3 linked regions of the Anolis sagrei genome follow. The protein of the gene in region 1 interacts with the protein of each later gene in a biochemical or structural test. Links are inferred from orthologs where the notes say so. Each region holds a gene or a part of one and is shown in the gene's direction. Other genes may lie near its edges. The genes, in order: UBXN2B, PPP1R11 and PPP1R7.

Region 1 (10,379 bases):
CGACACTCTGAAAGTAGAACTTTGCAGCCACTGGAATGATGTGCATTGAATATTAATGAACAGACATTTTAATTTTATTTTGAATAATTCCCTGGTTGCAAAGTGATATTTCGTAAATATAAAATAATAATTCCTGGCTAGAGATATGTTTGAGAATAAATATATGAGTTTCCTTGTGGAGAGTAAAAGCAGGGCATAAATAAGCATAATAATAATAATAATAATAATAATAATAATTCAAAGGAAGGAAGGAAGGAAATGTTCTTCTCTAAGAAGTGCCAAATCATTCACAGCAGCAATATTCAAATGTAAAGTGATCTCTTAAACTCTTATTTTCTAGTTCTGCCAGAACAAGGCCTATGAGAGGCATAATTTCCAAATGACAGCTGCACTTCTGGGGCATGCTTTCTTTCTTTCTTTTTTAGGAGAAAGAAGGAAGGAAGGAAAAGTAAGTAAGTGGCTTTTGATATGACTCAAGCTTGGTACAAAATCCAAATAACCTAGATGAGAAGTTAGACTCTATAATCCAGCCATCACAGTAAATCCCTTGTTGTATTGTTTCTTAGAAAATGGTTTCTTTGATAGGGTGATTCAATATTGCACATGCTAATGTGCGGCTGCCAACCCACTGAATGGCTCATGAATATCCCAAGCACCATTCCAGGCTCAGCTCTGAGACACATTTTATTTAATCATAACCAAATATACAAGTTTGGCATTATCACTCTCCCTCCTCCTCATCTTCTGTTAAGGATCATTTGGATCTAGGAGGGATTCAGTGCAACGATGTGGCTTCTGAATTGCCTAGATTATATTACCATAATAACGGAAGACATCACATTTGCTCTTTATGTCTGGCACGTACACAGATGTAATGAATGAAGTCTGACTTGCTACATTTTATTGAGCTTGAAGTTACTGCTTTATGGAAAACTAGTTTATATACTTGGCTTATACACCAGCCTGAATGCTATTCATTAGAAAAAGTAATTGTTCGCTTTTACAGTTGTAGGGATACAGAGAGGTGAGGAAAAATATCCCTTTTTTTACAATCCTTTGTTATTTTAAATAGTATTTACACTATTTTCCATTTTCTTTTTCATAGTAATTTATTTTTTGTTGTCTTTGGAGGTACTTGCCCTGTGGAGTTTCTGAGTTTTTTAGGCATTACATAGGCACATCAATTGATATAAGAAGCACAATAATTCACCAGCCTGAAGCATGAAGCAGTACCTTTTTTGTCCCTCAGGTACTGAGCACACCTTGCTGGCTGAAATCTCCATAGCAAGGCTTTACTGCCCTCTTGCACTCTCACCAGCCCCACATCTAGTCAGATGCTGCTCTCATCAGCTGAAGACTTTTATGAAGCAGCAACTCCCATCAGCCCAACACCTGACCAGCTTCAGTTCCCATTGGCCCCACAGCTGCAGTTTCCATCAGCCCCAGATTTGCCTAGCAAAGGGCTATGGGTGTTGGGTGGTAAGTAAAATAGGCCTGCTGATCAGTTAGGAGGAGAAAAACCTGTTTGGTTGTGGGTAGGAAATCTAAAGCCATACATATTATAGAAGAAGAAAGAAACTAGAGTGCACACACTATCTTAGTTTAGAACCCTGTATACATTTTAGAAATAGTAAGAAATAGTAAGAAAGGTGGAAGCTGTTGAAAGAAAAAAAGTAATCCCTGGGTACATTTTGGAAGAAGCTTTAAAATGGTCTCTAGAAGGTTCAAAATATGTTTGTTTATTTATGCAAGGCTTACCTAACCTGGTTGTTTAATTTTACATGAATATAATATTAGTTTTAGATTTTTTTTAAAAGTCCACTGAAACTTGTTGACCTACTTTTCTTTCTTCGTGGTGTAAAGTTAGAGAAGTAAAGCCCAGAAACACATCTAGTCCATTAACTAAGAATGTACTCCAAACCATTGTACTGCTGAACTTACTGACCGGAAAGTTGGTGGCTCGAATCCGCAAGACGGGGTGAACTCTCACTGTTAGCCCCAGCTCCTGTCAACCTAGCAGTTCAAGAACATGCAAATGTGAGTAGATCAATAGGTACCATCTCAGCAGGAAGGTAAACATCACTCCATGCAGTCATGCCAGCCACATGACCTAAGAGGTATCTACCGACAACGCCAGCTCTTCAGCTTAGAAATGGAGATGAGCACCACCCCCCAGAGCCTTTACCTTTATCTGTGTGTCTGTGTTTCATTGTTCTGAGGCATCGAATGTTTGCCTTGTGTCTCTGTATATGCGGAATATAGATAAGGTGTTGTTATTGTTATTATCTGTGAGCAATCAAATCCACAAATGGCAAAACTGCAAATGTTGAAGGACAACTGTAGTCTTTTTTTTTTTTGCCTCCAATCATCATCATCATCATTTATTTCTTTTCCGCCTCTCCTTGTTGCTCAAGGCAGGTTATAAAACAGCTAAAAACACATAATCATCATAAACATTATATATACATATATTAAAACGTATTTCTACAAAATGCGTATAACAAATTTAGATGTCAAAAATAGCAGGCTACCAGCTTTGAATAACAACTTTACTATTGAACTGCAATTTAGTGTACCATGAATAAGGTTTGTAAAACAGCTGTTGTGATTTTCAATACATTACAGAAAAAAAGGAAAAAGCAAAATTAATATATTTAGTGAGTATTAAGTGTTACTTCACCACCACCTAGTGGTGAAGAATGTCTCTCCAAAGGCTTGTTTTTAACAAAGTCTTCTAAATACATTTTATGTGCATCCTCTAAAAAGGAGAAAAGCCTTTTCTCTTTTCAATAACAATAAATTTTGGCATATAGGGAGTAAATTAATTGTTATATTTCAAAAACTGAAATTGAAGCCAAACAAGACAGAGGTACTTCTGGTCAGTTGAATGGCCAAACAGGGTATAGGGGTCCAACCTGTGCTGGACAGGATTACACTCCCCCTGAAGACACAGGTTCTCAGCTTGGGAGTACTCCTGGATTCATCACTGAGCCTGGAACCTCAGGTCTTGACGGTGGCCAGGGGAGCTTTTGCGATATTAAAACTTGTGCGCCAGCTGCGCCTGTCCCTTGAGAAGCCAGACTAACAAGAGTTGTCCACACTCTTGTTACATCTCAATTAGATTACTGCAACGCACTCTACAAGGGGTTGCCTTTGAAGACTGTTCAGAAGCTTCAAGTAGCCCAATGCGCAGCAGCCAGACTGCTCATCGGAGTGGCATGTAGGGTACGTACAACTCCTATGCTGCGTCAACTCTTCTTGCTGCCAATTTGTTACTGAACACAATTCAAAATGCTAGATTTTAAATGGTTCTGGCCCAGCTCACCTGCCCGAATTCATCCCCCCTATAAACCATCCTGGGTGCTAAGATCTTTTTGGGGGTGGGCCTGTTCTCAGTCTTACCTTCTTCACTGGGGCAGCTGATGGGGGCAAGGGACCGGGCCTTCTCAGTGGTGGCCCCTTGGTTGTGAAACTCCCCAGTGAAATTAGATCAGCCCCCTCCCTCCTATCCTTTAGAAAACAAGTTAAAACCTGGCTATGGAACCAAGCATTTGGAGAGTAACACAGGGCTATGTGATTGGAACGGCTTCTGGATTATGGTTTTTAGTCTATGTGTAATCTTTTAACAGCTTATTTGTATATTTATATGTTAGCGTTTTATTATTTTCATGCTTTAACGCACAAGGTGTATTGTATTTTGTTTGTCTTATGTTAATGTGGATTTGAATTATTGCCAATTTGGAAGCCACTTCAGGGTTGAGATAGAGCGGGGGGAAATACAGTAAATAAATAAATTTATTTTATTTATTTAAAACATTTATATTCTGCCCTTCTCATCCCGAAGCGGACTCAGGGCAGAGCACAGTATATATAGGCAAACATTCAATGCCAAGGACATGAATTCATTATATGCATACATAAACATTAAAAACATTTTATCAATATTAAAATACATTAATTAAATACAAAATAATATTAAAGTCAATATTAAAATACACTGTTTAAAAGTCTTGATAATCTGTGTCTAATCTGCCCTGAGTCGCCCAAAAGGCTGAGAAGGGCGATATACAAATATAGTAATAAATAAATAAATGGCCTGAAAAGGTTTCCTATCACTGTTTTATTGCATTGTCCCAAAAGCTTGGTCCCACAGCCAAGTTTTTACCATCCTTCTGAAGGACAGGAGGGAGGGGGCCTATTTTATCTCACCACTCGGGCCGGGGGGGGGGGGGCAATCACCAAGAAGGCCCTCTCTCTTGTCCCCACCAATCACGTTTGTGACAATGGCAGGATGGAGGATCTCTGTGATGGTTCATAGGAGGAGATGCATTCGGACAGGTAAATTGGGCTGGGGCCATTTAGAGCTTTATAGGCCAAGGCCCACACTTGGAATTGTGCCCAGTAGCAAACTGGCAGCCAGTAGAGCTGGGGCAACATGGGAGTTGTATGCTCCTTGTATGCAGCCCCAGTTATTGACTTGGCTGCCTCTCGTTGGACTATTTGAAGTTTCTGAGCAGTCTTCAAATGTAAGCCGCCCCGAGTCCCCTTGGAGAGATGGTGGTGAGATATAAATAAAGTTTTTTATTTATTATTATTATTGAAAGGCAACCCCACATAGAGTGCGTTGCAGTATTCTATCTTGGATGTAGCAAGAGTGTGGACCACCGTGGCCAAGTCTGGCTTCCCAAGGTAAATAAATAAATAGTCCAAGAAAGATTAGGAAGTATTTTATTTTATTTATTTATTTATTTAGTACATTTCTATACTGCCCCTCTCAGCCTTCTGGCGACTTGAGGCGGTTTACAAGGCAAGAATTCAATGCCGCCAAGGACACAATTACAACATACAATATAAAATACATCAGCAACAATAAAACCAAACATTATAATGACACATACTTCAATCGATAATCATTAAAACAATGTCCATATAGTTATTCCATTATTATATCCTTTACTCTGTATTTTCAAATGCCCGCTCAAATAGCCATGTCTTAAGATTCTTCCGGAATGATAGGAGCGAGGAAGCAGATCTAATCTCCCTAGGAAGGGCGTTCCATAGCCAAGGGGCCACCACTGAGAAGGCCTGTCTCTCGTTCCTGCCAACCGTACTTGTGATGATGGTGGGACCGAGAGCAGGGCCTCTCCAGACAATCTTAAAGTCCTTGCAGGTTCATAAGGGGAGATTCGTTCGGTACATCCTGAAGTTAAGAGCTGTTTGGCAGTGGAATGTGCTGCCTTATAGGGTGACAGAGTCCAATTTTCTGGAGATTTTTAAGCAGAGGCTGGATGGCCATTTGTTAGTACTGCGTTGACTGTATCTTTCTACTCTTTGATTCTAGTGGCTAACATGTTTAATGAATGTAAGCTTTTGTGGACTCTCGGTTAACCGGAACTCAAGCAACCAGCAAAAAATTCAAATAAATAATACTTTAAATAAAATTAAAGGACATGTATTTATTGTTAAATTGTATTATATTATATTATTTCTGGAATTTATATGCAGGTTTTTTTTTTCCGGATGGACCCAAAGCAGCTAACAAAAACAACATAAACAATGTAACATAACCATTCATTAAATCAAGCATAAACCCATTATATTAAATTAGTCTTTAGTTTTCATTATTTGCTGTTGCTGTATTTCAGTATGAATATCAAGTCAATACAGAGTTTAGATATGGCATAGTAGTAGTTACGTCCATTTTTAATAATAACTCTCAGGCAACCAGAAACTAGATTTATCCAGCATGTACCAATTCCCATGGGTGCCGGTTAACTTTGGCTCCATCGACACGGCCAAATAATGCAGTTTCAGAATCCAAATTAACTATATTCTGGATTTTATCAGTCTACATTGTCATAAAATCCAGTTCAATGCAGTTAATCTGCATTCTGGAATTGTTTTACATGACAGATCCAGCCTGAGAGTCAATTATATACGAATCAGAAAGGGTCTATCTGCACAGTGTGATGAATGCAGTTTGGCACTCCTTTAACTGCCACGGCTCAATGCTATGGAATCATGGGAGTTGTAGTTTTACAAGGTGTTTTGATTTCTCTGCCAAGTTCACACCGATATGCTTGGGACCAGAAGTTACTGGGAGCCCCATCTACACTGCCATATAATGCAGTTTCAAACTGTATTATATAGTAGTAGATGGGGCCCCAAACACTTTCTGGCCCCCTCAAAATTTCGGTGTGAGGGCTGCTCAACCTGTGACGGCCCTGAACTGAAAGGATAACACACATTGGGCCCGCCTCCCTTCGGAGTCCTGTCAACCCAGAGTGACGGCCGGGCCAGCCAATGGGAACGGCGCACGCGCAAACAGGTGCGAGTGGGCGGGGCGGAGGGAGGGCCCGAGAAGACAGGCAAGAAACTCGAGCGAGGAGGCTTTGGGGACCAGCGGAACCGACGTGGGCCCTGCACCTGCGAGCCGGTCGCCATAGCAACCCTCGCTGCCGGAAGAACTCCTCAGCGAGCGAGCGGGCGCGCGCCTGCCCAACCGCCCTCCCGCGTGCTCCTCTCTCTGGATTTGGCAGTTGGCACTCGCCCAGCTCGAAGATGGCGGACGATGGGACACTCGCCGAGCGGCCTCAGGAGGAAGACGAGGAGGAGGAGGAGAAGGAGAAGGAAAAAAGGGAACCGGAGGCGGCTGCAGCAGCGGGTACCAGCGGAGGGAGGCGGGAGAAAGGGCCCCGAGGAAGCGGCCGCCCGCCCACCGTCCGGGATCTGCAGGTAGGGAAGGCAGTGTGTGTGCGGCCCAAGGGCCTCGCCCCCTCTCGCCTCCTTCCTCCTCCTGAATTACAGAAGAAACCCGAGCCCTGATGCCTTGGGGTGGTTCGGAAGAGTGGGCCAAGCCCATGACTCCCTTCCTCTTTGGCTCAGACAGATTTAGGGGTCTTTTCTCCGCCCAAATGGGAAGCAAACGTGCCCCTGACGATGACGACACATTTTGTCACGTCAGTCTTGGAAGGAATGCGTTCCCAGTGCAGGGAAGCCATGGCTATACGGAGAGTTATTTTTTTAAATGCAGATTGAGCATCCCTCATCAGAAATGCATGGAAGCAGGGCCCTTCCACTCAGCCATATAACCCAGAATATCAAGGCAGAAAATCTCACAATACCTGCTTTGAACTGGGATATCTGAGTCCACACTACCATATATTCCAATTCAAAGCAGATAATTTGGGATTTTAGGGTTGTCATCTTGTCTTCGGTGTCAGTTGGGAGCCCCTCCCCCCAACACCAACTGCTGCTCTGAGACTAGCCTAAAGAGAGGGGTCCAAACAGATATTGTATTTATTTTATTTATTGTACTGTATTTTACTTGTAAGCCGCTCTGACCTTCGGGGTGAGAAGGGCGGCATATAAATGTCATAAATAAATAAATAAATAAAGCAGATAATTGGCTGCCAGTCAGCTTCCGAGCACAATTCAAAGTGCTGGTCTTAACCTATAAAGCCCTAAACGACTCCGGCCCAATTTATCTGTCCGAACGTATCCTCACCTACGAACCATCAAGATTGCTAAGATCGTCTGGAGGGACCCTGCTCTCGATCCCACCGCCTCACAGGCGTGGCTGGTGGGGACGAGAGACAGGGCCTTCTCGGTGGTGGCCCCTCGACTCTGGAACTCCCTTCCACTGGAGATCAGAACTGCCCCTTCTATCTTAACATTCAGGAAACAGGTGAAAACTTAGCTTTGGTGATTGGCATTCAACAAATGAGCCATGATCCTGTGATATGGATGGATGACGACGAATAATGATTTTTGATGACGACTGACCACTGTAATTATGATTATGATTGTATTTTGCTATTTTAATGTTTTAGTGTGATTTAGAATATGATGTTTTAATGACTGTCTGTAATATTGATGTTGGAAACCGGCCTGAGTCCCTCGAACGGAGGTGAGAAGACCGGTATATAAAACTACTAAATAAATAAATAAATAAATAAATAAATAATTTGGGATTTTACTCAGCTGTGTGGAAGGGGCCATGATCTCGGATTTTTCCTCTTTCAGTTCGGAATACTTCTTTATACATAATGAAAGGGCTTCAACACCAAACCCGTTTGTGGAGTTTATTTCTAAAAGATAAAATGTACACTTTTTACAGGAATTTTTAAAAACGTCTGACATATTCTTACGCTATAGCAAACATTTTTTCCAAACTCTGTACCTAAATGATTTAATGCATTTTGATAACTTTTATATGTGTAATATGTATAACACCATAGTCTACTCCAAGCCATCAATGTGCTGCCACCTCATTTTTCTTTTCTGTTTTTTGTGAGGGTACCTTTTGGAAACATACTCCACGTTTATCCAGTCAGTTTCAACCTATGAATGTAAACGTAGTTGCTGTGAGTTTTCCGGGCTGCCAGGTTCCAGAAGCACAACCCAGAAAACTCACAGCAACCCAGTGATTCTGGCCATGAAAGCCTTTGACAGCACAATGTAAACTTGCCTTTTATTGGTATGGATCAGGCCTGGGCAAACTTCAGCCCTCCGGGTGTTTTGGACTTCAAATCCCACAATTCCTAACAGCATACCTGCTGTGGGAGTTGAGTCCAAAACACCTGGGGGGCCAAAGTTTGCCCTGGCCTGGTATGGATTATTTTAATGTGTTTTAATCATAGTTCTGTGTCTTTTAATATATGTGCTTTCATGGTCTTATGCTGTTATCTATGTATTTTTATTGTGTTGTACCCTGCCTCCAGCTATGAAGAGAGGCGAGAAAGAAATACAGTTTATTTTTATTATGTTTGTTTCATATACGCATCCTTTGAAGATAATTTCATATGCAGTATTTGGTACTATTCCATTATCTGGGTGGAAGCCACTAGGGGGCACTAAAGAGAGATGGATGGTCCGTTTTATGGGAATGTTGTGGGGGTAGAGGATGAAGGAATAAAATCATTTCCCCCTATTTTCCTGTTATTCACCCCCCCACCACCACCCATGTCCCCGTCGTGGAAGAAACTCTCATTTATGATATGAGAAGTGGAAATATTTATGTATTTATTTACCATATTTATCCCACCTTCTCGAGGGGATTCAAGATGGCTTTACACGTAGGCAACTATTCAATAAGCAGCAAAAATGGGGGGAATGGTTTTCATCAACTCCCTCACTGTAAAATGGACCATCCTTCTCTTTGTAGCATCTCCTAGTGACCTCTGCCTGGATAATGGAACAGTATCCAATATTTTAATAATTTTGTGCATGTAATAAAGTGTATGTGGAATCATCAGGGGAAAAGTTGTCACTATCTCAGCCACTATCTCAGTGGATAGTTTGAGGTTTTGGAATATTTGGGGGTTTTTAGAATTCAGGATAAGAGCTGCTCATTAAAATTGCTGTGACAGTGTATTCCTATGTATAGGTACAGAAAGTACTTTCACTTCTATTGTGTAGGGCTCCAAGTAAGGTGATATTGACAGATAGAGAAACTGCTCCGCAATGTTACTTCTACGCTCACCATTTGATTAATTTTTTAAATGATTACTGGGTGTTTGTTTTTTTTGTTTACTTGTTAAAAATAATCTGAACCCCTTATTCATGGATTCTGTAGCTACGGATTCAATCACCTATATATACAAGCAGTCCCCATGTTACTGACAAGATAGGTTCTGATAGTTTGTTCTCAAGCTGAATTCGTTTGTAAGTCGGAAAATGTATTTTTTAAAGTATAACTCAGAAGATTTCACCTCACTTTCTATCCCTGTAATAATTGGATTTTGAAAAAATTGGCTTTTTGTGGAAACAAGGATTGGTGAGAACGCTTCAGTTGAGACATCTTTTCCCCATGATAATTCTTCCAGGAATGATTTTCCCTTCCTATAGGTAGATTTCTCTCATTTCCTGTTTTCTCTCCCTGTTCTTAAATATGAATCCTTTGTATGTCAGATGTTTGTAACTGTACTGCCTGTGTGTGTGTGTGTCTCCAAATGACAGACATTTGGCATTTGATATAAGGAACATTATTTTACTAAGCCTCTGTATATAGTGTGAGCATCCATTGATTTTGGTATCCGCAAAGAGTCCTGGGACAAACTCCAGTGCATACCAAGGACCCACTGTATGCTTTCTTATCTTTTATGACACAGAAATATTGGAAGCAAGGAAGGAGTTTATTCTAGAAATTAGAGTTTATAAAACTCTGGTGATGTATTTTCTTACTCAGCATCTCAAACTATGAAATATGTTTTGTGTGTATATTCTACAATTTTGTAGCTTTAACAAATTATTTGTAAGAATAATTTATAATTATAAATTATAAGAATAATAAGAAAGTGAGAAACGTCAGGAGAAATGCCTCTAGAACATGGCCATATAGCCCGAAAAAACCCACAAGAACTATTTGTAAGAAAATA
Region 2 (10,516 bases), on another chromosome or scaffold:
TCCCATAGGATGGTAATACATCCGGACGTCCCCTAGGCGACATCTCTGTAGACAGCCAATTCTCTTACACCAGAAGCAACTTGCAGTATATTCTCAATTCGCTTCTGACGCGATAAAATAAAATACATTTTAAAAATTTAAAAAACAGTGGATGATGACTTTCTGCACCTTCATTCACAAATGGAGACTGGAGTAAAGAGTCCCTTTTGGGGTTGAGAAGGGTGGTATACAAATACCGCAAATATAAATAAATAATAAAGTTGCCTTCGGGCTGAAAAGGGTGTGATAAAAGTGTGCTAAATAATTTATATAAAGAAAAATGTCATGTTCATTTGTGGGATTAACATAACTCAAAAACCACTGGGCGAATTGAAACCAAATTTGGACACAATACACCTATCAGGCCAACAAGTGACAATCACTCATAAAAACACTGAAAAACACAGATTAAAAGCCAAAATAATAATAAAAAAATACATTACAATGCATTGTCAAAACTACATATAGACACATATACACAAATATATACATACATACATATAAACACACACAAAACACATATACACAGACTGGGCCACAGCAACATGTGGCAGGGGACACATAGTAAATAAATAAATCAGAAGACTGAGACTTGGAAGAACAGCTAGGAATGAACTAGATAAGGTTGTCAAGTGTAAAGTTATATCACTGAATATCCATGTTATTGTAATTATGATTTATTTTTATCATAATGTACAAGGGATCAGGAGAAAGCTAGGATATGGAACTAGAAGTATAAAGATACAGCATTGAATACTAAAATTCCTGAAGAACTTCCTGATGGTATGAGTTGTTTGGCAGTGGAAGATACTGCCTGGGAGAGTGGTGGAGTCTCCTCCTCTGGAGGTTTTTAAGCTAGCTGGATGACCATCTGTTTGGAGTACTTTGATTCCTGCATGACAGAAAGGGGTTGGAATTGATGGCCCTGGCAGTCTCTTCCAACCATGAGATTCTATTATTCTAAAGTTAAGATTGCCCATGCCACTGTATTTCCCATTTCTATGTATTGCTGTGAAAGCAGGACAACAACGAAATCTGTCAACTCATTTGAAATGTATAGCTGGAAGAGAGTTCTACAGATACTGTGGACTCCTAAACTGAACAATAAATAGGTCATTTAGAAGGCCGATTCTAACCAATGAGCATAATGCACACTTACCTTTCAAGGCAGTGCTCTTGCCCTGAGATTCTTCCCCTTTGGAATGAGGACCAGAGCAGCTTACATGGAATGAGGACCAGAGCAGCTTACATGGGTAACATTATGCTTGAGGAGGAAAAGCAGCTTCCTACTGTCTCCATATTTTATACATCTTTTATGTGTTTCCCACATCAAATTGTATGGCATGGAACAATTCCAAATATTTATTTTTTTATTTCAAATATTGGTACCCTTCTCTACCCCCAAAGGGGGCTCAGGGCGGCTTATAGCTGGCAACAATTCAATGCCCCATAAATACAACAGATAAAACAACAGTTAAGGTAAAGGTTGTCCCCTGACATTAAGTCCAGTCATGTCTGACTCTAGGGTGTGGTGCTCATCTCCATTTCTAACCGAAGAGCCGGCGTTGTCCATAGACACCTCCAAGGTCATGTGGCCAGCATGACTGCATGGAGCGCCGTTACCTTCCCGCCGGAGCGGTACCTATTGATCTACTCACATTTGCATGTTTTCGAACTGCTAGGTTGGCAGAAGCTAGGGCTGACAGCTGAAGCTCATGCCACTCCCCGGAATCGAACCTGCAACCTTTTGGTCAACAAGCTCAGCAGCTCAGTGCTTTAACCCACTGCACCACTGGGGGCTCCAAAAACAACAGTTACATGATAAGTAAACAATAAATCAGATTAAAAACCATTTAAAATAGTACAAATAGTCCGAGTTCAACACCTCCCCATATGGACATTGTTCTATCAGTTGATCCCTGTGGATGCTCGTTTCTGCAACTTTTCCATCTCTACAATGTCATTTTTTGACATTTCTTCTAAGTGCACAATATTCTAGATTCAATTAGCATAAAGGCAGAATTGTATAGCAGTGGTTTTATTTTCAAAACGTCTTTTTCTAATGATATCCAATTTAGATACTGTATTTTTAAATGGTTTTTCTATCATAGGGAAAGACTAAAAGTTCTTTGTACAGCGATGAGCAAATCGCTTAAAGTCCTTGTCAGACCGAATCTGAAGAATCTCAATGGCTGCAGGGAGTCAAAGATCAATGACAGAGCGTTGGGGGGATCGCTTAAGCCTGGCTCCAGGATAGGGGCTTAAAGCCTGCAATACACCAGTCTGAATCCTCAGCCTGCAGCCTGACATGAAGGAGACAGTGACCTACTTTACAGCTGGAACGGAAATCTCACCCACCTTAAAAGCAGGGCTATAAATGTAACACGCAGACGGTGCAATAATAAAGGAACAAAAAGCACCTTGTTCATTTTGAGCAAGAATCAAATGCTCACCTAATGATAACTCGATACTGTCTACACATATCCTGCAGAGTTCCCCCCTTCTCCCTGTGGATTCCTTTATAAAGATTATACTTTGCGTATATAATTTAAATAGGAAGATATTTTACCCAAAATTGCCAACTTTGATCCAAGCTTTAAGAATTGGAAAGAAAAAATCCTGCAAAGCAGATGCTGCTGAATTTAAACAGAAATGCTTAATAAAATAAGTTGTCCTCTATTTAAAGCTGCTTTGACAGAACTTGGGAGTTGAGATTTGGATTTCCATTTCTAAATTGACCCCATCCAGCATAGCCAGTAATTACAAGCATTTTTCCCCATGTCAGAAGCGACTTGAGAAACTGCAAGTCGCTCCTGGTGTGAGAGAATTGGCCGTCTGCAAGGACGTTGTCCAGGGGACGCCTGGATGTTTTGATGTTTTACCACCCTTGTAGAAGGCTTCTCTGATGTTCCTGCCTGGGGAGTTGGAGCTGACAGAGGGAGCTCATCTGCGCTCTACCTGGATTCTAACCTCCGACCTGTCAGTCTTCAGTCTTCAGTCTAATCACCTCTCAACAAAATCTAATCACCTCAACAAAAATTTGCTCCAGGCTCTGTCAGACCATTATATGCTAATCAAGGTCGTCAGTTGAAACATTCACACCTAGCTCCAGCAGACAAGAGTCCTTTGTCCCACCCTGGTCATTCCACAGATATATAAACCCATTTCCCTTGTTCCAACAGCTCACCTATTATTATTATTATTATTATTATTATTATTAAACTTTATTTGTACCCCGCTAGCATCTCCCGAAGGACTCGATGCGGCTTACAAAAGCCAAGGCCTCAATACACAACATAACAATACACTTAAAGCAAATTAAAACAATTAAAGCAGTATTAAAACAACAAAACCACAAGCAATAAACAATACATCAAACAAGATAAAACTAGGCCGGGCCAGAGTAAAGGGTACAGGATTAAAAAGTGCTGATGTGACAGGTGAAATGTAAGGGTTATAGGGCAAGTGCAGTGTGTGGCAGTCTTAATTCTACTAAAGTGCTTCTGGGACTTGGTATTGGAGGTTTCCTAATCGGGAAAGGCACATCACAACAGCCAGGTCTTCAAGTTTTTTCTGAAGACTGCCAATGTAGGGGCCTGTCTAAGATCTTTGGGGAGGGTGTTCCAGAGACAGGGGGCCACCACGGAAAAGGCCCTGTCTCGTGTTCCCACCAAACGTGCTTGCGACGCAGGCGGGATCACGAGCAGGGCCTCTCCAGATGAGCGTAGTGAACGCGTGGGTTCGTAGACGGAGATGCGGTCACACAGGTAGGCTGGTTCCAAACCGTTCAAGACTTTGTAGGTAAGCACCTGCACCTTAAATTGGGCTCGGAAGATAAATGGCAGCCATTGGAGCTCCTTGAACAGGAGGGTTGACCTCTCTCTGTAGGGAGCACCAGTTAACATCCTGGCTGCTGCTCGTTAGAATTTCCGAGCCGTTTTCAAGGGCAGCCCCACGTAGAGCGCATTAAGGTAATCCAGTCGAGAGGTGACCAAGGCATGGACCACCCCGGCCAGGTCAGCCTTCGCGAGGTACGGTCGCAGTTGGCGCACGAGTCTCAATTGTGCGAAAGCCCTCCCAGACACCGCCTGAGCCTCAAGTGTAAGCGATGAATCCAAGAGGACTCCCAGACTGCGGACCTTTGGCTTCAGGGGGAGTGTAACCCCGTCCAACACAGGTTGCCACCCTATACCCCGGTCAGGTTTACGATCGACCAGGAGGACCTCTGTCTTGTCGGGATTGATCTTCAGCTTGTTCCTCCTCATCCAGATAGACACAGTGGCCAGGCACTCGTCCAGCACCCGAGAGGCCTCCTTGGAATTGGGTGGAAAAGAGTAGTAGAGTTGTGTGTCATCTGCATAGAGGTGGCACCTAACTCCAAAACTCTGGATGACCTCTCCCAGCGGTTTCATGTAGATGTTAAAAAGCATGGGAGACAAAATGGAGCCTTGCGGGACCCCACAGGTCAAGGGCCAGGGGTCTGAGCAGGCGTCTCCCAGCTTCACCAACTGGGATCGACCCTCCAGGAAGGACCGGAGCCACGACAGAACCATGCCCCCGAGACCCATCCCAGAGAGACGACCCAGAAGGATACCATGATCGATGGTATTGAAAGCCGCTGAGATGTCCAGAGAAAAGCGACTAAAATGATAAAAGGTCTGGAGAACAAGCCCTATGAGGAGCGGCTTAAAGAGCTGGGCATGTTTAGCCTGAAGAAGAGAAGGCTGAGAGGGGATATGATAGCCATGTATAAATATGTGAGAGGAAGCCACAGGGAGGAGGGAGCAAGCATGTTTTGCGCTTCCCTGGAGACTAGGACGCGGAACAATGGCTTCAAACTACAAGAGAGGAGATTCCATCTGAACATGAGGAAGAACTTCCTGACTCTGAGAGCCGTTCAGCAGTGGAACTCTCTGCCCCGGAGTGTGGTGGAGGCTCCTTCTTTGGAAGCTTTTAAACAGGCTGGATGGCCATCTGTCAGGGGTGATTTGAATGCAATATTCCTGCTTCTTGGCAGGGGGTTGGACTGGATGGCCCATGAGGTCTCTTCCAACTCTTTGATTCTATGATTCTATGAGAACCAACAGAGTCACACTCCCCCTGTCCAGCTCTCTACGGAGGTCATCCACCAAGGCTGTCTCGGTGCCGTGACCAGGCCTGAAACCAGACTGTGACTGATCTAGGTAGTTGATGCCACCTAGCAGATCGAAAACAGCTGTGAGTAGATAAATAGGTACCAATTAAGCAGGGAGGTATTTTAATGGCACCGTAAGGAAATACCAGACCATTATATGCTAATCAAGGTGGTCAGTTGAAACATTCACACCTAGCTCCAGCAGACAAGAGTCATTTGTCCCACGCTAGTCATTCCACAGATATATAAACCCTTTTTCTTAGTTCCAACAGACCTCACTACCTCTGAGGATGCTTGCCATAGATGCAGGCGAAACGTCAGGAGAGAATGCCTCTAGACCATGGCCATACAGCCCGAAAAAACCTACAATAACTCTATAGTAGTATAGTTTCGAAAAGCTCTGCCTCTAACTATAGTAGCATAACTATAGGGCCATGTTCTAGAGGCATTTCTCCTGACGTTTCGCCTGCATCTATGGCAAGCATCCTCAGAGGTAGTGAGAGGTAGTAGTATACTAGTCTTGGAAAGCTCTGCCTCTAACTGCGCATGCGTCTGGGTTGCTGTGCTCTTTTCAGGCTGTATGGCCATGTTCCAGTCGCGTTGTCTCCTACGCATGCTCTGTCTTCTTCTCCAGTACGGCGGAAGTGACTTTGGAGTCTTAGCTGGGGGACGCCTTACCGTGAGGGACGGAAATAGAGAGGCGGAGGGAGGCGGAAGCAGGGGGACCGACCGGAAGTGGGCAGAGGGGAGAGGCTTGCTGCACCTGGGAGGAAGGTGGAGCGAAGAGGCGAGTCTGAGTGAAGGTGGCTGAAGCGGGGCCACGAAAATAGCTTCCCCGTGAGCGATTCCTGGCCGGGGCACCCTGCGGATAAGGCCCCCCCCTTCAACAAGAGCCACGGCCGAAAGGGTCCCATCCCGCCCGACCACCTCTTCGACGACCACCACAACAACCATGGCGGAGTCTGCGGCCAGCGTGGGATCAACCGCGACTCTGACCGAGACGGAGGTGACCGAGCCGGTGAGAAGCGAGGGCTGGGCTTGGTGAAGGCCTGGTGTGGCCCTTGTGCCAGTGCCATAGCAACCATGGTGATGGTGCTGATGGAGGAAGAGGAGGGAGGAGGGGGGGGGGCTGTGCTGCGGTTGTTATAGCAACCAGTGGGTCGTGAGAAGGAACTCTTTCTCCCCTGAGAAGGGAGGAGGAGAAGGAGGAAAGGAGGATGATGATGATGATGGTGACAGCCACCAGGTGGGCCTTCCCATTGAAGGCTGCCACTGCCAACGCACTGTGAGGCATGCTTGCTCCATGAAGCGCCCACGTTCACAGGTAAAAAGGGGCTGGAGAGCTTTGAGAGGGAAGCAAATCATAGAATCATGGAATCAAAGAGTTGGAAGAGACCTCATGCGCCATCCAGTCCAACCCCCTGCCAAGAAGCAGGAATATTGCATTCAAATCACCCCTGACAGATGGCCATCCAGCCTCTGTTTAAAAGCTTCCAAAGAAGGAGCCTCCACCACACTCCGGGGCAGAGAGTTCCACTGCTGAACGGCTCTCACAGTCAGGAAGTTCTTCCTCATGTTCAGATGGAATCTCCTCTCTTGTAGTTTGAAGCCATTGTTCCGCGTCCTAGTCTCCAAGGAAGCAGAAAACAAGCTTGCTCCCTCCTCCCTGTGGCTTCCTCTCACATATTTATACATGGCTATCATATATCCTCTCAGCCTTCTCTTCTTCAGGCTAAACATGCCCAGCTCCTTAAGCCGCTCCTCATAGGGCTTGTTCTCCAGACCTTTTATCATTTTAGTCGCCCTCCTCTGGACACATTCCAGCTTGTCAATATCTCTCTTGAATTGTGGTGCCCAGAATTGGACACAATATTCCAGATGTGGTCTAACCAAAGCGGAATAGAGGGGTAGCATTACTTCCCTAGATCTAGACACTATGCTCCTATTGATGCAGGCCAAAATCCCATTGGCTTTTTTTGCCGCCACATCACATTGTTGGCTCATGTTTAACTTGTTGTTCACGAGGACTCCAAGATCTTTTTCACACGTACTGCTCTCGAGCCAGGCATCCCCCATTCTGTATCTTTGCATTTCGTTTTTCATGCCAAAGTGGAGTATCTTGCATTTGTCACTGTTGAACTTCATTTTGTTAGTTTCGGCCCATCTCTCTAATCTGTCAAGATCGTTTTGAATCCTGCTCCTGTCCTCTGGAGTATTGGCTATCCCTCCCAATTTGGTGTCGTCTGCAAACTTGATGATCATGCCTTCTAACCCTTTCGGTCATTTCTACCCCGCCCTTCTCACCCCCTAGTGGGGACTCAGGGCGGCTTACATCCGGCACAATTCGATGCCAACAGTTACAATAAAATGCAATAGCAATAACACAATAGATTAAAAACAAACAATTAATACAGTACAATACAATACAATATCAACTAAAAACCGCTCTATAGCCCGCGTTCATCGAGTTTTAAAATCCGTCAATCCATTTAGCATTACCACAGTCCTTTCCAACTCTAGTCATCGTTACCTTGTTAATCTGCCAGATTACCCAAATGCCTGGTCCCATATCCATGTCTTCAGCTTCCTTCTGAAGGAGAGGAGGGATGTTGACAACCTGATTTCCCCGGGGAGTGAATTCCACAGGCGAGGGGCCACCACTGAGAAGGACCTGTCCCTCGTCCCCACCAGCCTCACTTGTGATAAAGGTGGGGCCGAGAGCAGGGCCTCCCCAGAAGATCTTAAACTCCGTGGTGGGACATAGAAGGAGATACGTTCGGACAAGTACACTGGGCCGGAGCCGTATAGCACAATATTAGTAACATACATTCTCATATTGTACTACATCAGTATACTGTAATATTATTCATAATATTACAAGCAATATGAAATATACAATTATTATATTGTATTATTATTACTTTTGTATTATTGTATTATTATTATTATGGAGCCCCCAGTAGTGCAGTGGATTAAAGTGCTGACCTGCTGAGCTTGTTGACCAAAAGGTCGCAAGTTCGAATCCGGGGAGCATCGTGAGCTTCCACTGTCAGCCCCAGCTTCTGCCAACCTAGCAGTTCAAAAACATGCAAATGTGAGTAGATCAATAGATACCAGTGGAAAGGTAACGGCGCTTCATGGAGTCATGCTGGCCACATGAACTTGGAGGTGTCTAGGAACAACGCCAGCTATTTGGCTTAGAAATGGAGATGAGCACCAACCCCCAGAGTCGGACACAACTGGACTTAATGTCAGAGGAAAATCTTCACCTTACACTAACAGCAACTCTTTCAATGTACAGTGGACTCTCAATTAACCGGGACCCATGGGGATTAGTAGATGCTGGATAAATGTAGTTTCTGGTTGCTTGAGGGTTCCTATTAAAAATAGGCCTATTAAAAAAACTGGACTTCATGTCAGGGAAAACCTTTACCTATTATTATTATTAGTATTATATTGTATTACAATATAATATTATTAATGATATTATATGTGTATACAATATATCAAACTTTTTAAACAGAGGGCAAGGTCACAGTCCCTCAAACTGTTGGAGGGCCGGATTATAATTTGAAAAAAAATAAATGAGTTCCTATGCACACTGCACATATCTTATTTGTAGTGCAAAAACAAACAAACAAAAAAACCCACTTAAAAACAATAAAATAATTAAAATGAAAAACAATTTCAACAAATTTAAACTTATTAGTATTTCAATGGGAAGTGTAGAACCACTTTTGGCTAATAAGATAGGGTTGTTGTTGTTGTTGTTGTTGTTGTTGTTGTGTGCTTTCAAGTCGTTTCAGACTTAGGTTGACCCTGAGCGAGGGCCAGGTAAATGACCGTAGAGGGCCATATCCAGCCCTCGGGCCTTAGTTTGAGGACCTCTGCAATATATTATATTATTACCACAGCACAATATTAGTATTATATTGTACTATACCACTATACTGTAATCTTATTAGTAATATTACATGTAATATAAAAGATATAATTCTTATATTTTATTATTATATTGTATTACATTATAATATTATCAATATTATATGTGTATACAATATATTATATTATTACCACAGCACATCAGTAATATATTAATACTATAAAGTGCAAGTTCGAATAGCAGTAAAAGTGCAACAGCTCTTGGTCTGCAGCCTTTTGCTCCAAAATCTTATGAATCAAGGTCTCTAGAATCCATAGATTGGTAGTATATAAAATAAGTCTAAGGTGAAGGCACTTTCCCCCTCCCAAAGTAGCCCAGGCCCATAGACCAGTCTTCCTAAGTCGTCATCCAATATGGCGGGTGTTGAGGGAGCCACAATGGAGGACGGATCTGAATGCAGCCGGTGGTGATGGTACGGCCAAGAGGTAGGTGTAAAATGGTCATAGGGAACCTGTCAGTGTGATAAACCTCCGAAAGATTCACAAGACCAGCAAGAGGGTATCTGAACAATCAGGCACTGGAGTGATGGAGCAGGCAGGGGTAATCACAGCCGAGAGCAGGAACAGCAATAGCAGATGGCGGCCATGTTGGCTGAGATAAGCGGGAGGCTTCCAGTAATGATGAAGCCTCTAATATCAGCAGTGGTGGCAGCGATCTCCGAGGCTGTGGCAGCAATGATATGACAGCACCTGGGATGGAAAAAACCCTCTGGAGTCACCGGTGCCGATGTCAGGGCACTGATGAGTTTTTCATAAAGCCAGCCGCAACAACAAGGCAAGGTCCAGTCCCAAATGGCCAGCCATGGATGATGGTCTTTAGGCCCCTCAAGGCGGTGAGAGATGGTAATTGGGACCCAAGCTAGTCCCAATGGTGCCTACATTAATGGTGGTAAGTCAGAGACTAGCAGTGACCAGTGGCAGGAGGAAATGGCGGCAGATAATTGTGCCGGCTACAGTAGGTCAGGTCTTTAAGAAGGGAGGGAGCGTGTTTCAGCCACGTTGAAATGGCAGGGCTCAACCTCTTCACCCTTGGTCTTCACCCTTTCTTGCCAAAAACTGTACGAATCTTGCCACAAACAGACAAGAATTCTTTCTCCCACCCTGGACATTCCACATATATATAAACCCCATTTTCCTAGTTTCCAACAGACCGCAGAACCTCTGAGGATGCCTGCCATAGATGCAGGCAAAACATCAGGAGGGAATACTTCTGCAACATGTCCATACAACCTGGAAAACTCACAACAACCCACGTTTGGAAAGGCATTACTTTGTTAGGGATCATAACCTTTTGGAAAGTATGATCTTCTTGACAAGAGTTTAACACTCGCTTAGTGGTAAATATCCACTAGTATTCATGCAAGGCACTGGCTTCTCAGCTGTTAGACTGATATACCTAGG
Region 3 (10,971 bases), on another chromosome or scaffold:
CACTGAAAAACCTAGAGATTCCTAGAGAAATGTTCTCACTAGGAACTCATTTGTCTTTCAACATGACTCTATGATCAACTTATGGCAGAGGTTGGTCATAAAGTTGCACTGGAAGACCTACAGAGAACACTTTAATGAAATCCATGAAAGATCAAATCTGGAAAAGTCAAACCCACAAGTATGGAGGTTTGACTGTAATGGCAAAACACAATATTTATATTAAATATTAGATAGAGGCCATAGTAGCACAGTGGTTAAAGCTGCAAGCTGCAGAAAAGGCCGCTGACCGAAGGGTCAATAGTTTGAAGCTGTGAGTCGGGGTGAGCTCCCGGCTGTTAGTCCTAGCTTCTGCCAACCTAGCAGTTCGAAAGCATGCAATGCGAGTACATCAATACGTACTGCCTCTGTGGGAAGGTTTAAAGGGCTCCCCATGCAACCATGCTGACAAAAAGATCGGAGATGTCTATGGACAGCAGGCTCCTTCGGCATGGAAAATGGAACAAGAGCCCTTCCCCATGGCTGGAGGTTGAACATTGCCTCCAGATGCCAGAAATGGAAAAAGGGGGTGGCCTTTACACAAACAATGACCTTATTGTATGTCATTGTTTGTGTAAAAAGGCATTGAATGCTTGCCTTATATGTGTTCCGTAATCTGTTCTGAGTCCCTCCAGGGAGATAAAGCAGACTATAAATAAAGCGTATTATTATTATTATTATTATTATTATTATTATTATTATTATTATGGAGCCCCGGTGGTGCAGTAAGTTAACTGCTGAGCTGTTAAACTTGTTAACCGAAAGGTCACAGGTTCGAATTCAGGGAGCGGCAATCTGCTAGGTTAGCTTCTGCCAACCTAGCAGATTGAAAACATACAAATGTGAGTAAATCAATAGGTACCGCTTCGGCAGGAAGGTAACGGCACTCCATGCAGTCATGCCGGCCACATGGCCTTGGAGGTGTCTATGGACAATGCCGGCTCTTCGGCTTAGAAATGGAGATGAGCACCACCCCCCAGAGTTAGACACGACTGGACTTAATGTCAGGGGAAAACCTTTACCTTTATTATTATTATATTACATAACTAGCTAAGAAAAGCCTATGAAATTAATCGGGTAGCCAGAAGAAATATACTTAGTATATAGTACTTGATTACGGAAATTTGTCACAGATGATAAAATACGGTAGTAAATATGGTTTAAATATTTTTTTATTATTAGCAAACTAATATTTAAAATGACACAATGCATGTTATTATATATTTCACATAAAAGTTTAAACATTCAAGCAAACAAAGATCCAATTTTAAAAATATATCACTCCTAAACTGGTATCTCTGCTTTTTTCCAAAGAGGCAGAATATATAAGAAAATAACATTCAATCTCGAGAAGCAGGGCTTTCTTCTCATTATTATTATTATTATTATTATTATTATTATTACAGGCTTGTAAAATTTTTAAAAAGGGAATTAGTCAAAAGCAGTATGACTTTGGGCACATCTACTCTGCAGAATTAATGCCATTTGGCACCAATTTAACTGCCATGGATCAATACTATGGAGTCCTGGGAATTGTAATTTGGTACCATCCTACTTTGGAGAAGGAAAACATATTTTATAAAACGACAGCTCTCATGATTCTGTAGTACTGATCCATAGCAGTTAAAATGTGGCCAAACTGCATTAAACCTACAGTGCAAGCACATCCTGAGTGTATAGAGTATGCATACCAATGCATCCATATTCAATGGCAGAATGCCACTATTGTTTCCATCACTGAGAGTAGGATAGCCAAGAAAAGCCTTCATTCTGTCTCCCTTTTTTTGGAAGCAGCTCATTTTTAATCTGACTCTTTCTTAGGCCCTTTTCACACAGTTGCATAAAATCCCACATTATCTGCCTTGAACTGGAATATATGGCAGTGTGGACTCAGATAACCCAGTTCAAAGCAGATATTGTGGGATTTTCTGTCTTGATATCCTGGGTTATATGCCTTCATGGAAGGGCCCTTATGCTTTTTAGACAGGCTTATCCATAAATGCATGAATGTAATATATAGTAGGCTCTCATTTAAACGGCACTCAAGCAAATGGCAAAATGATAATAAAATAAATAGAATTAATTATAAAAGCAAATAAAGGCAATTTATAACACAGTAAAAACAGTAAAATTGTGTTCTATTGAGTTTGTCTTTTATTTGCTTCTAATTACTGTATTTCAACATGAAGTCAATACAGAGTTTATGGCATTGGTATAGTATGGTGAGCCTTTTAAATATATAACTCTCAACCAACCAGAAACTATATTTATCCGGCATGGGTGCGTATTAACTGAGGGCACTTCCACACAGCCATATAACCCAGAATATCAAGACATAAAAAAATCCCACAATATCGGCTTTGAACTGGGTTATCTGGGTCCACACTGCCATATAACGTGTCCAGAGGAGGGCAACTAAAATGATCAAGGGTCTAGAGAACAAGCCCTATGAGGAGAGGTTTAAAGAGCTGGGCATGTTTAGCCTACAGAAGAGAAGGCTGAGAGGAGACATGATGAAGGCCATGTATCCATATGTGAGGAGAGGTCATAGGGAGGAGGGAGCACACTTGTTTTCTGCCGGCCTGGAGACTAGGACGCAGAACAATGGCTTCAAATGGATGTCGAGATATTGGGAATATAGATATTTATACATATATTGTATATACATTAGAAGCACTGAAGTATAGAAAAATCAGGTTCTCTCTGTATGAGGAAGCCAAGCTGACAGGACAGAGGAATGCTGAAGGAGATCTGTGTTGAAAGGGGAGGAGAAGGGGGGGTATGTTATCTATACACTACAAAGACTAATATAGCTTAGCACAGGCCATATCTTCTTACTTCTAAAAGTAAGGAGTTTCTCTCCCTCCCTCCTGACAGGTCAAAAGTAAGCCCCTGGTGGATCTATGTAAGCTGAATTCTAGTTATCTCTATTGCTGTAAGCTGCTTTAGAAAAAAAATATAGAGACATGCCCCTTGCATGTAGGAAGATATAATTTTATATGTCTATGATGCAAAAGTGACATAGTGATGATTTTATGTATGTAGAAGCATGTTTCTTTGTTTACCTGCATTTGAAGATGTATATAAGGTAAAGTCAATCCTTTATTGGGGCTCTAGTTGGCTTTTGGACGTGATTCCACGCCAGGGTCTCAGCTGAAAATAAACATACCTTTTCCGCCTCAAACAAAGGATCGCTCTTGGTATTATCTCTCCTATCAGCCATAACAAAACTACAGGAAAGGAGATTCCACCTGAACATTAGGAAGAACTTCCTGAGTGTGAGAGCTTTTCAGCAGTGGAACTCTCTGCCTTGGACTGTGATGGAAGCTCCTTCTTTGGAGGATTTTAAGCAGAGGCTGGATGGCCATCTGTCAGGGGTGCTTTGAATGTGATTTTCCTGCTTCTTGGCAGGAGGTTGGACTGGATGGGCCATGAGGTCTTTTCCAACTCTATAATTCTATATTCCAGTTCAAAGCAGATAATGTTACTAACAGAAGCGGCGCTCGGGGAGCATACTACTCCTCTGTTGTGCCAGCTCCACTGGCTGCCAGTTTGCTTTGGGCACAATTCAAAGTGCTGGCTTTAGCCTATAAAGCCCAACTTACCTGTCCAAATGCATCTCCTCCTATGAACCAACTAGGACGTTAAGATCATCTGGGGAGGCCCTGCTCTCGATCCTGCCTGCGTCACAAATACATTTGGCGGGGTGAGAGACAGGGCCTTCTCAGTGGTAGCCCCTCAGCTCTGGAACACCCTTCCAAAGGACATCAGATCAGACCCCTCGCTTTTAACATTCCGGAGGAAAGTTAAGACCTGGCTGTTTGAGCAAGTGTTTGGAAATCTTTAAGGCAGTGTAATAGACATAGGAATATGGAACGATTGGATGACAAGACTGGACCTTGTTTTTAACTAGGAGACGGAAATGTTTTATTGATCTTATTATGATTATATATTATATAGAATCATAGAATCCTAGAGTTGGAAGAGACCTCATGGGTCATCCAGTCCAACCCCCTGCCAAAAAGCAGGAATATTGCATTCAAAGCATCCCTGACAGATGGCCATCCAGCCTGTTTAAAAGTTTCCAAAGAAGGAGCCTCCGCCACACTCCGGGGCAGAGAGTTCCACTGCTGAACGGCTCTCACAGTCAGGAAGTTCTTCCTCATGTTCAGATGGAATCTCCTTTCTTGTAGTTTGAAGCCATTGTTTCATGTCCAAGTCTCCAGGGAAGCAGAAAACAAGCTTGCTCCCTCCTCCCTGTGGCTTCTTCTCACATATTTATACATGGCTATCATGTATCCTCTCAGCCTTCTCTTCTTCAGGCTAAACATGCCCAGCTCCTTAAGCCGCTCCTCATAGGGCTTGTTCTCCAGACCTTTTATCATTTTAGTCACCCTCCTCTGGACACATTCCAGCTTGTCAATATCTCTCTTGAATTGTGGTGCCCAGAATTGGACACAATATTCCAGGTGTGGTCTAACCAAGGCAGAATAGAGGGGTAGCATTACTTCCCTAGATCTAGACCAGGGGTCCTCAAACTAAGTCCCAGGGGCCGAATGCGGCACTCCAAGGTCATTTACCCGGCCCTCGCTTAGGGTCAACCTAAGTCTGTAATGATTTGAAAGCACACAACAACAACAATCCTATCTCATCAGCCAAAAGCAGGCCCACACTTCCCATTGAAATACTAATAAATTTGTATTTGTTAAAATTGTTCTTCATTTTAATTATTGTATTGTTTTTAAGGTTTTTTTGCATTACAAATAAGATATGTGCAGTGTGCATAGGAATTCATTCATTTTTTTCTAAATTATAATTCGGCCCTCCAACAGTTTGAAGGACTGTGACCTGGCCCTCTGTTTAAAAAGTTTGTGCACCCCTGATCTAGACACTATGCTCCTATTGATGTAGGCCAAAATCCCATTGGCTTTTTTTGCTGCCACATCACATTGTTGGCTCATGCTTAACTTGTTGTCCACGAGGATCAAGATCTTTTTAATATGTTAATGTTTTAAATGTTTTATGTTGTTTGGGCATTGAATTTTGCCTCTGTAAACCGCCATGAGTCGCCCACGGGCTGAGAAAGGCGGTATACAAATATAGTAAATAAATAAACAAACAAACAACCAATAAATAAATGTGGGATTTTTTTTTCAGCTGTGTGGAAGGGGCCTGAGAATCTGCTCTATATGGCAATGAGAAACAACAGCATAAAAAAAAAACATTAACACCAGAACATGTCGCCCACAGGCTTTTTATTATTATTATTTCGTGTCAGAACAGCCAGTCAATTATATTACATTTCTAACAGAACAAAGCAAACAAACAGACATAATACAAAATTTGTGAGTTTGGTAGTTGATTAAATGTCCTTTGACCAGTATCTGGCCACTTGGAGTGCCTCTGATGTTGCCGCAAGGAGGTCCTCCATTGTGCATGTGGCAAGGCTCAGGTTGCATTTGCAGCAGGTGGTCAGTGGTTTGCTCCTCTCTGCACTCGCATGTCGAGGATTCCACTTTGTAGCCCCATTTCTGAAGGTTGGCTCTGCATCTCGTGGTGCCAGAGCGCAGTCTGTTCAGCGCCTTCCAAGTCGCTGAGTCCTCTGTGTGCCCAGGGGGGAGTCTCTCATTTGGTATCAGCCATTGGTTGAGGTTCTGGGTTTGAGCCTCCACTTTTGGACTCTCACTTGCTGAGGTATTCCAGCGAGTGTCTCTGTAGATCTTAGAAAACTATGTCTAGATTTAAGTCGTTGACGTGCTGGCTGAGAGAAGCCTCCTCGCAGGATTGCAAGACATCCGGGCGTCCCCTGGGCAACGTCTTTGTAGACGGCTGATTCTCTCACCACAGAAGCGACCAGCATGCCCACAGGCTGAGAAAGGCGGTATACAAATATAGTAAATAAACAAACAAACAAACAAATATAGGATCTTATTCAGCTGTGAGGAAGTGGCCTGAGAGTCTGCTCTGTATGGCAATGAGAAACAACAGAATAAAAAAACATTAACACCAGAACAGGAAAAAAATCCTAGATGTCCCCATCAATCGCACGTACAAACCATCCACCAAAATCCCAATATCTGGAGCAAGAAGCATCGCTAGTAGGAGCTGATGATCTTCCCATGGTATGTTACTAATGTAATCCCCCTCCTTTACTTTATATTACAGTACCATATAATATAATATATATTTTGGTGATTTAAACCCTTTCACGCTATGCAAGAGGCGACAATGCTTGGCTCCTTGCTACTGAATCCCACCACCAGCCTTGAAATCCCTGGGAAAGAAAAACTACATTTCCCATGGGGCGGCGGGGCTCCGCGCATGCGCCGGCACTCCCAAGGGAACCTCTGCGGCGAAGTGGCGCTCCCGATTGGCTGGAGCCCTCCCCGATGTGGCTTCCCATTGGCTGCCCGCGAAACTGGGGCCGATGCCGGAAGGAGGAGGAGGAGGGACTGCCAAGCGTTATGGCGGCGGCTGAGTCTGAGGGCGCGCAGGAGATGATGGAGGGTGAGTGCATGCTGCCTCTGTCCCAGGATCTCATCCCAGATTGTCTTCTTATTCCAGATTATCAGGCAGTGGAGACCCAGGGCCCTTCCACACAGCCATAGAACCCAGAATATCAACATTATCTGCTTTGAACTGGGTTATCTGAGTCCACACTGCCAGATAATACAGTTCAATGTGGATTTTGTACAGCTGTGTGGAAGAGGCCTCAGATGGGAGCGAGGGTGCATCTGTACTGTGAAATTAATGAGGGTTGACACCGCTTTAGCCACAATGGCTCAATGCTGTGGGATCATAGGAGTTTAGTAAGACCTTTAGGCTTCTCTGCCAAAGAGGGCCAGTGCCTCACTAAACTACAACTCCCAGCATCACATAGCATTGAGCCATGGCTGTTCTAGCGAGATTAACCCGCTTTAATTCTGCATTTTTGTGCTGGGGCAGCTCCTTTCATTGCCTGCCACCATCTCTACATCATGCATGGGCAAACTTGGGCCTTCTAGGTGTTTTGGACTCCAACTCCCACCATTCCTAACAGCCTCAGGTCTTTTCCTTTTCCCCCTCAGCTGCTTAAGCGGCTGAGGGGGAAAAGGAAAGGACCTGAGGCTGTTAGGAATGGTGGGAGTTGGAGTCCAAAACACCTGGAGGAAGGCCCAAGTTTGCCCATACCTGGTCTACACTGTAGAATCGATGCGTTTTGACATCACTTCAACTGTTAATGACTCAATTCTATGACAGCCTGGGAGCCGGAGTTTTGCAAGGGCTTAATTAATCCTTCTCTACTTAAAGAGAAATGCAGTAGTTCTCCTTGCATTAGGTAGATAGTACTCCTGTTGTTTCTTCTGCTGTTGCTGTTTCTGCATTTCGGGCGCATCCCCACTGCAGAATTAATGCAGTTTGAGACCACTTCAACTCTCCTGGCTCAATGCTATAGAATCCTAGGATTTCCAGGACCCTTCCACACAGCCCTATACCCCAGAATATCAAGGCAGGAAATCCCACATTATCTGAGTGTGGACTCGGATAACCTAGTTCAAAGCAGATATTGTGAGATTTTCTGGCTTGATATTCTGGGATATAGGGCTGTGTGGAAGGGCCCCCAGTTTGAGGAAACACCAGCACTCTTTTCAAAGAAGGATTACTAGGATGATGATAATATGTTGTGTATTTATATGTTTTCAGTAATTGCAATTGATCTATTTTAAGTTATGTTAATTTGACCTATGTTTTGTTTTAACTGTTACTGTTAAACTGTTTAAACCGTCCTGAGTTCCTTCCGGGAGAGGAGGTGGGATATAAATAAAACTTATTACTATTTGATACACAACAAGATTAGTACACAGCAAACATGATCACTATGCTGGCTTTTGTATTGGATCACACCTTGGACACTTCCCAAGTGTCTTGGACTATGTGATGTATCGGCAAATAATGCATGCAGATCTGAGTTGGGTGACCTTTTAGTTGGCAGATGGTGATTTTGTCAGCGCCAATTGTTTTTAAGTGCTGGTCAAGGTCTTTAGGCACTGCACCCAGTTTGTCAATCACCACTGGGACCACCGTTATTATGAATAATAAACATTATTATTATTATTATTATTTTACTGACACAAAAACAGTATGTCACAGCAAACGAGATATATATGCTGGATTTTGTATCACAAAATCACAAGTTGAACACTTCCCAAGCGTCTAGGACTGTGTGATGTATTTTCGAATGTTGCGTGCAGATTTAAGTAAAGTGGTCTTTTGCAATTGACAGATTGTGAATTTGTCAATGTTTATTATTTCCAAATGCCAGCTGAGATCTTTTGGCACAGCACCCAGTGTGCCGATAACCACTGGGACCACCTGTACTGGTTTATGCCAGAGCCTTTGCACTTTGATTTTGAGGTCTTGATAATGGCTTATTATTATTATTATTATTATTATTATTATTATCCTTCTCTGTGAAGGAGTGTTGGTGCTTTCCCAAACTAGAATACTTGTTGTTGTTGTAATTGTTGTTGTTGTTATTTCTTACCTGCTGTAATGGCAGGTTACAGCACAGATAAGAACACACAACCATTACGTAAAATACATATATTGAAACATAGTTCAATGAAATACATAGGAGCCCCCGGTGGCGCACTGGGTTAAAGCCCTGTGCCAGCAGGACTGAAGACCGACAGGTCGCAGGTTCGAATCCTGGGACAGGTGGATGAGCTCCCTCTATCAGCTCCAGCTCCTCATGCGGGGACATGAGAGAAGCCTCCCACAAGGATGATAAAACATCAAAAATCATCCGGGCGTCCCCTGGGCAACGTCCTTGCAGACGGCCAATTCTCTCACAACAGGATGCTCCTGACACGACAAAAAAAGAAAGAAAAAGAAATACATATCTTAAAATACACAGAACAAAGATTAAAATATAGCGAACACAAGATGCGAGTTAAAAAATTAATGACTGCATAAAACTACAAATCGCATGATTCCATACCATTGAGATGAGGCTGCTAAAGAGCAGCCAGACTGCATTAATTCTCCAGTGTAGGTGCACCTGGGGAAGATTTTTAGGAAGAAGCTGCATTTGACAGCTTCGCCCGAAGTCACACAATTCACTGCCTCCTAGAATGTCAACTTTAGCAGCTACTGACTCATAGCTAAGGCAACTCCTACCCATCTTTTATAGTCCTTTGCTGATTCTTCTTTATTTCCCATGAGTTGCTTCCCAAATTGAACCCTCTACCAGGCATGGGAAAACTTCAGCCCTCCCGGAGTTTTGGACTTCAAATCCCACATTTCCTAACAGCCGACTGTTAGGAATTGTGGGAGTTGAAGTCCAAGACACCTGGAGGACCTAAGTTTGCCCATGCCTGGGCTAGCCCTAACTTCAGCCTTTGCCTGCTGAGATTTACCTTGAAAAATAACAAATGGGATACTTTGTTACAGGGCAGTATAGAGACTAAAACCCAAATACTTGGTTATATATTCTTTTCTCCAAACTCAATGAGTTTGGAGAAATTTGTTCTTGATCATTATGCTTTTATTTACTACATTTCTCTTCTGTCCTTTGTCAAAGAATGGCATCTTCACTGTATAGTGGGCCCTTGATATCTGCTAGCATTTTATTCAAGGATCTCTCATGGGACCCAGAATCTGTGGATGCTCAAGTTATATATCATTATAAACATTGGCACAGTAAAATCATTAGTGTCATATAAAATGAAAAAAACAGGATTTGCTATCTGAATTTTTGGAACAAGGTATTTTCAAGTCATGGATGATTGAATCCATGCATATGGAGGAGCCAAAAGTATATATTTATATTCACATGTATATGGATTTTGTATTCTGTCATGTCATTGCTCACTGCCTTGAGTCTCTGTGGGGAGTAAGGCGGGATAAAAATACAGTAAATAAATAAATGTATACAAAAAGAACATTTAAATTTGGTGTAGTCCATGATGAGATATTTTTTTATCTGTGTAAATATATACTTTAGCACATAGTAGATTGTGAATACAGTATATATGAGACCATTTAACAGAACTGCTGTTTGGCTGCATGTAATATGTCTGCAAAAGTGTTTGCTGTCATGTATGTAATAAATTCCTTTTCGGCACTTACATATTTGAATGTGACAACTGTGTTTTTAGTACTGCAGAATGATAGACCATAAGAAATGAATGAATCCTATGACTTTGAATGCAAGAGGCCAGAGACTGGTACTACAGCTTATACACTTACACAAGTCAAGAAAGTACAAATTGGCCGCTTAAAGGGATTCAAGACTAAGTTACATCTTTATTTATTAAGCCAGTATGCAACAGACAGATCATATGAGCTCCATGACCTCCCCATTAATTCAATTACTGCCATGTGAAATGTTTGCAAGACATGACTTAGTTGTCAATTTGGCCTTCAGATAATGTGCAGACTAATATTCAATTTGGGCATGTAGGTATGTTTAGCTTCCCAATTAGCAACCTTACTCTTTTGAGCTTGTCCCCAAGGCAATATTCTTTATATACTTCCCAGGAAGTAAACTGTTATACTTACTAAGGCTTCCTTCTCAAGAAGCATATATAGGATCTTATTTCACCCATGCTCTCATTTTGTTGGTTCGAAGTGTTTTTTCCCCCCTGAAATAAATGTAATGACGACGTTTACCTTTTAGTGGACAGGAGGATCGAGTCTGAAGAGTCAGGAGATGATGAAGGAAAGAAGAAAGGGGTTTGCCTAGTATCAGACCTCAGTCAACAGAGCTTAAGAGACGAGCAGAATGGTGAAAATTCGACAGGTAAACTCTTGTTCAAATAGAGAAATGGTCTGCTGTGTTTAATGTGACAGTGGTGCTGCTTAAGACTTTTCAAAATCTCACCTCGCCAAAGTGTTAAGAGACAACTAAAGATGTTCCTTTTGGGAAGTGATTATATTATGTTTTTTACCTCT

What was found.
Region 2: the proteins of UBXN2B (region 1) and PPP1R11 form a complex in vitro, tested with the Homo sapiens proteins (2 studies listed by BioGRID). The link is inferred for Anolis sagrei from reciprocal best matches to the Homo sapiens genes UBXN2B and PPP1R11.
Region 3: the proteins of UBXN2B (region 1) and PPP1R7 form a complex in vitro, tested with the Homo sapiens proteins (2 studies listed by BioGRID). The link is inferred for Anolis sagrei from reciprocal best matches to the Homo sapiens genes UBXN2B and PPP1R7.

Annotation. Positions count from the first base shown.
Region 1 is NC_090024.1:48,751,509-48,761,887, reverse strand, and holds the start of UBXN2B (UBX domain-containing protein 2B), read left to right. Parts: upstream 1-6,344; 5' UTR 6,345-6,561; coding exon 6,562-6,735; intron 6,736-10,379. UniProt on the Homo sapiens protein: Adapter protein required for Golgi and endoplasmic reticulum biogenesis. Involved in Golgi and endoplasmic reticulum maintenance during interphase and in their reassembly at the end of mitosis.
Region 2 is NC_090022.1:23,182,734-23,193,249, forward strand, and holds the start of PPP1R11 (E3 ubiquitin-protein ligase PPP1R11), read left to right. Parts: upstream 1-5,826; 5' UTR 5,827-6,125; coding exon 6,126-6,191; intron 6,192-10,516. UniProt on the Homo sapiens protein: Atypical E3 ubiquitin-protein ligase which ubiquitinates TLR2 at 'Lys-754' leading to its degradation by the proteasome.
Region 3 is NC_090023.1:227,041,890-227,052,860, reverse strand, and holds the start of PPP1R7 (protein phosphatase 1 regulatory subunit 7), read left to right. Parts: upstream 1-6,335; coding exon 6,336-6,543; intron 6,544-10,696; coding exon 10,697-10,819; intron 10,820-10,971. UniProt on the Homo sapiens protein: Regulatory subunit of protein phosphatase 1.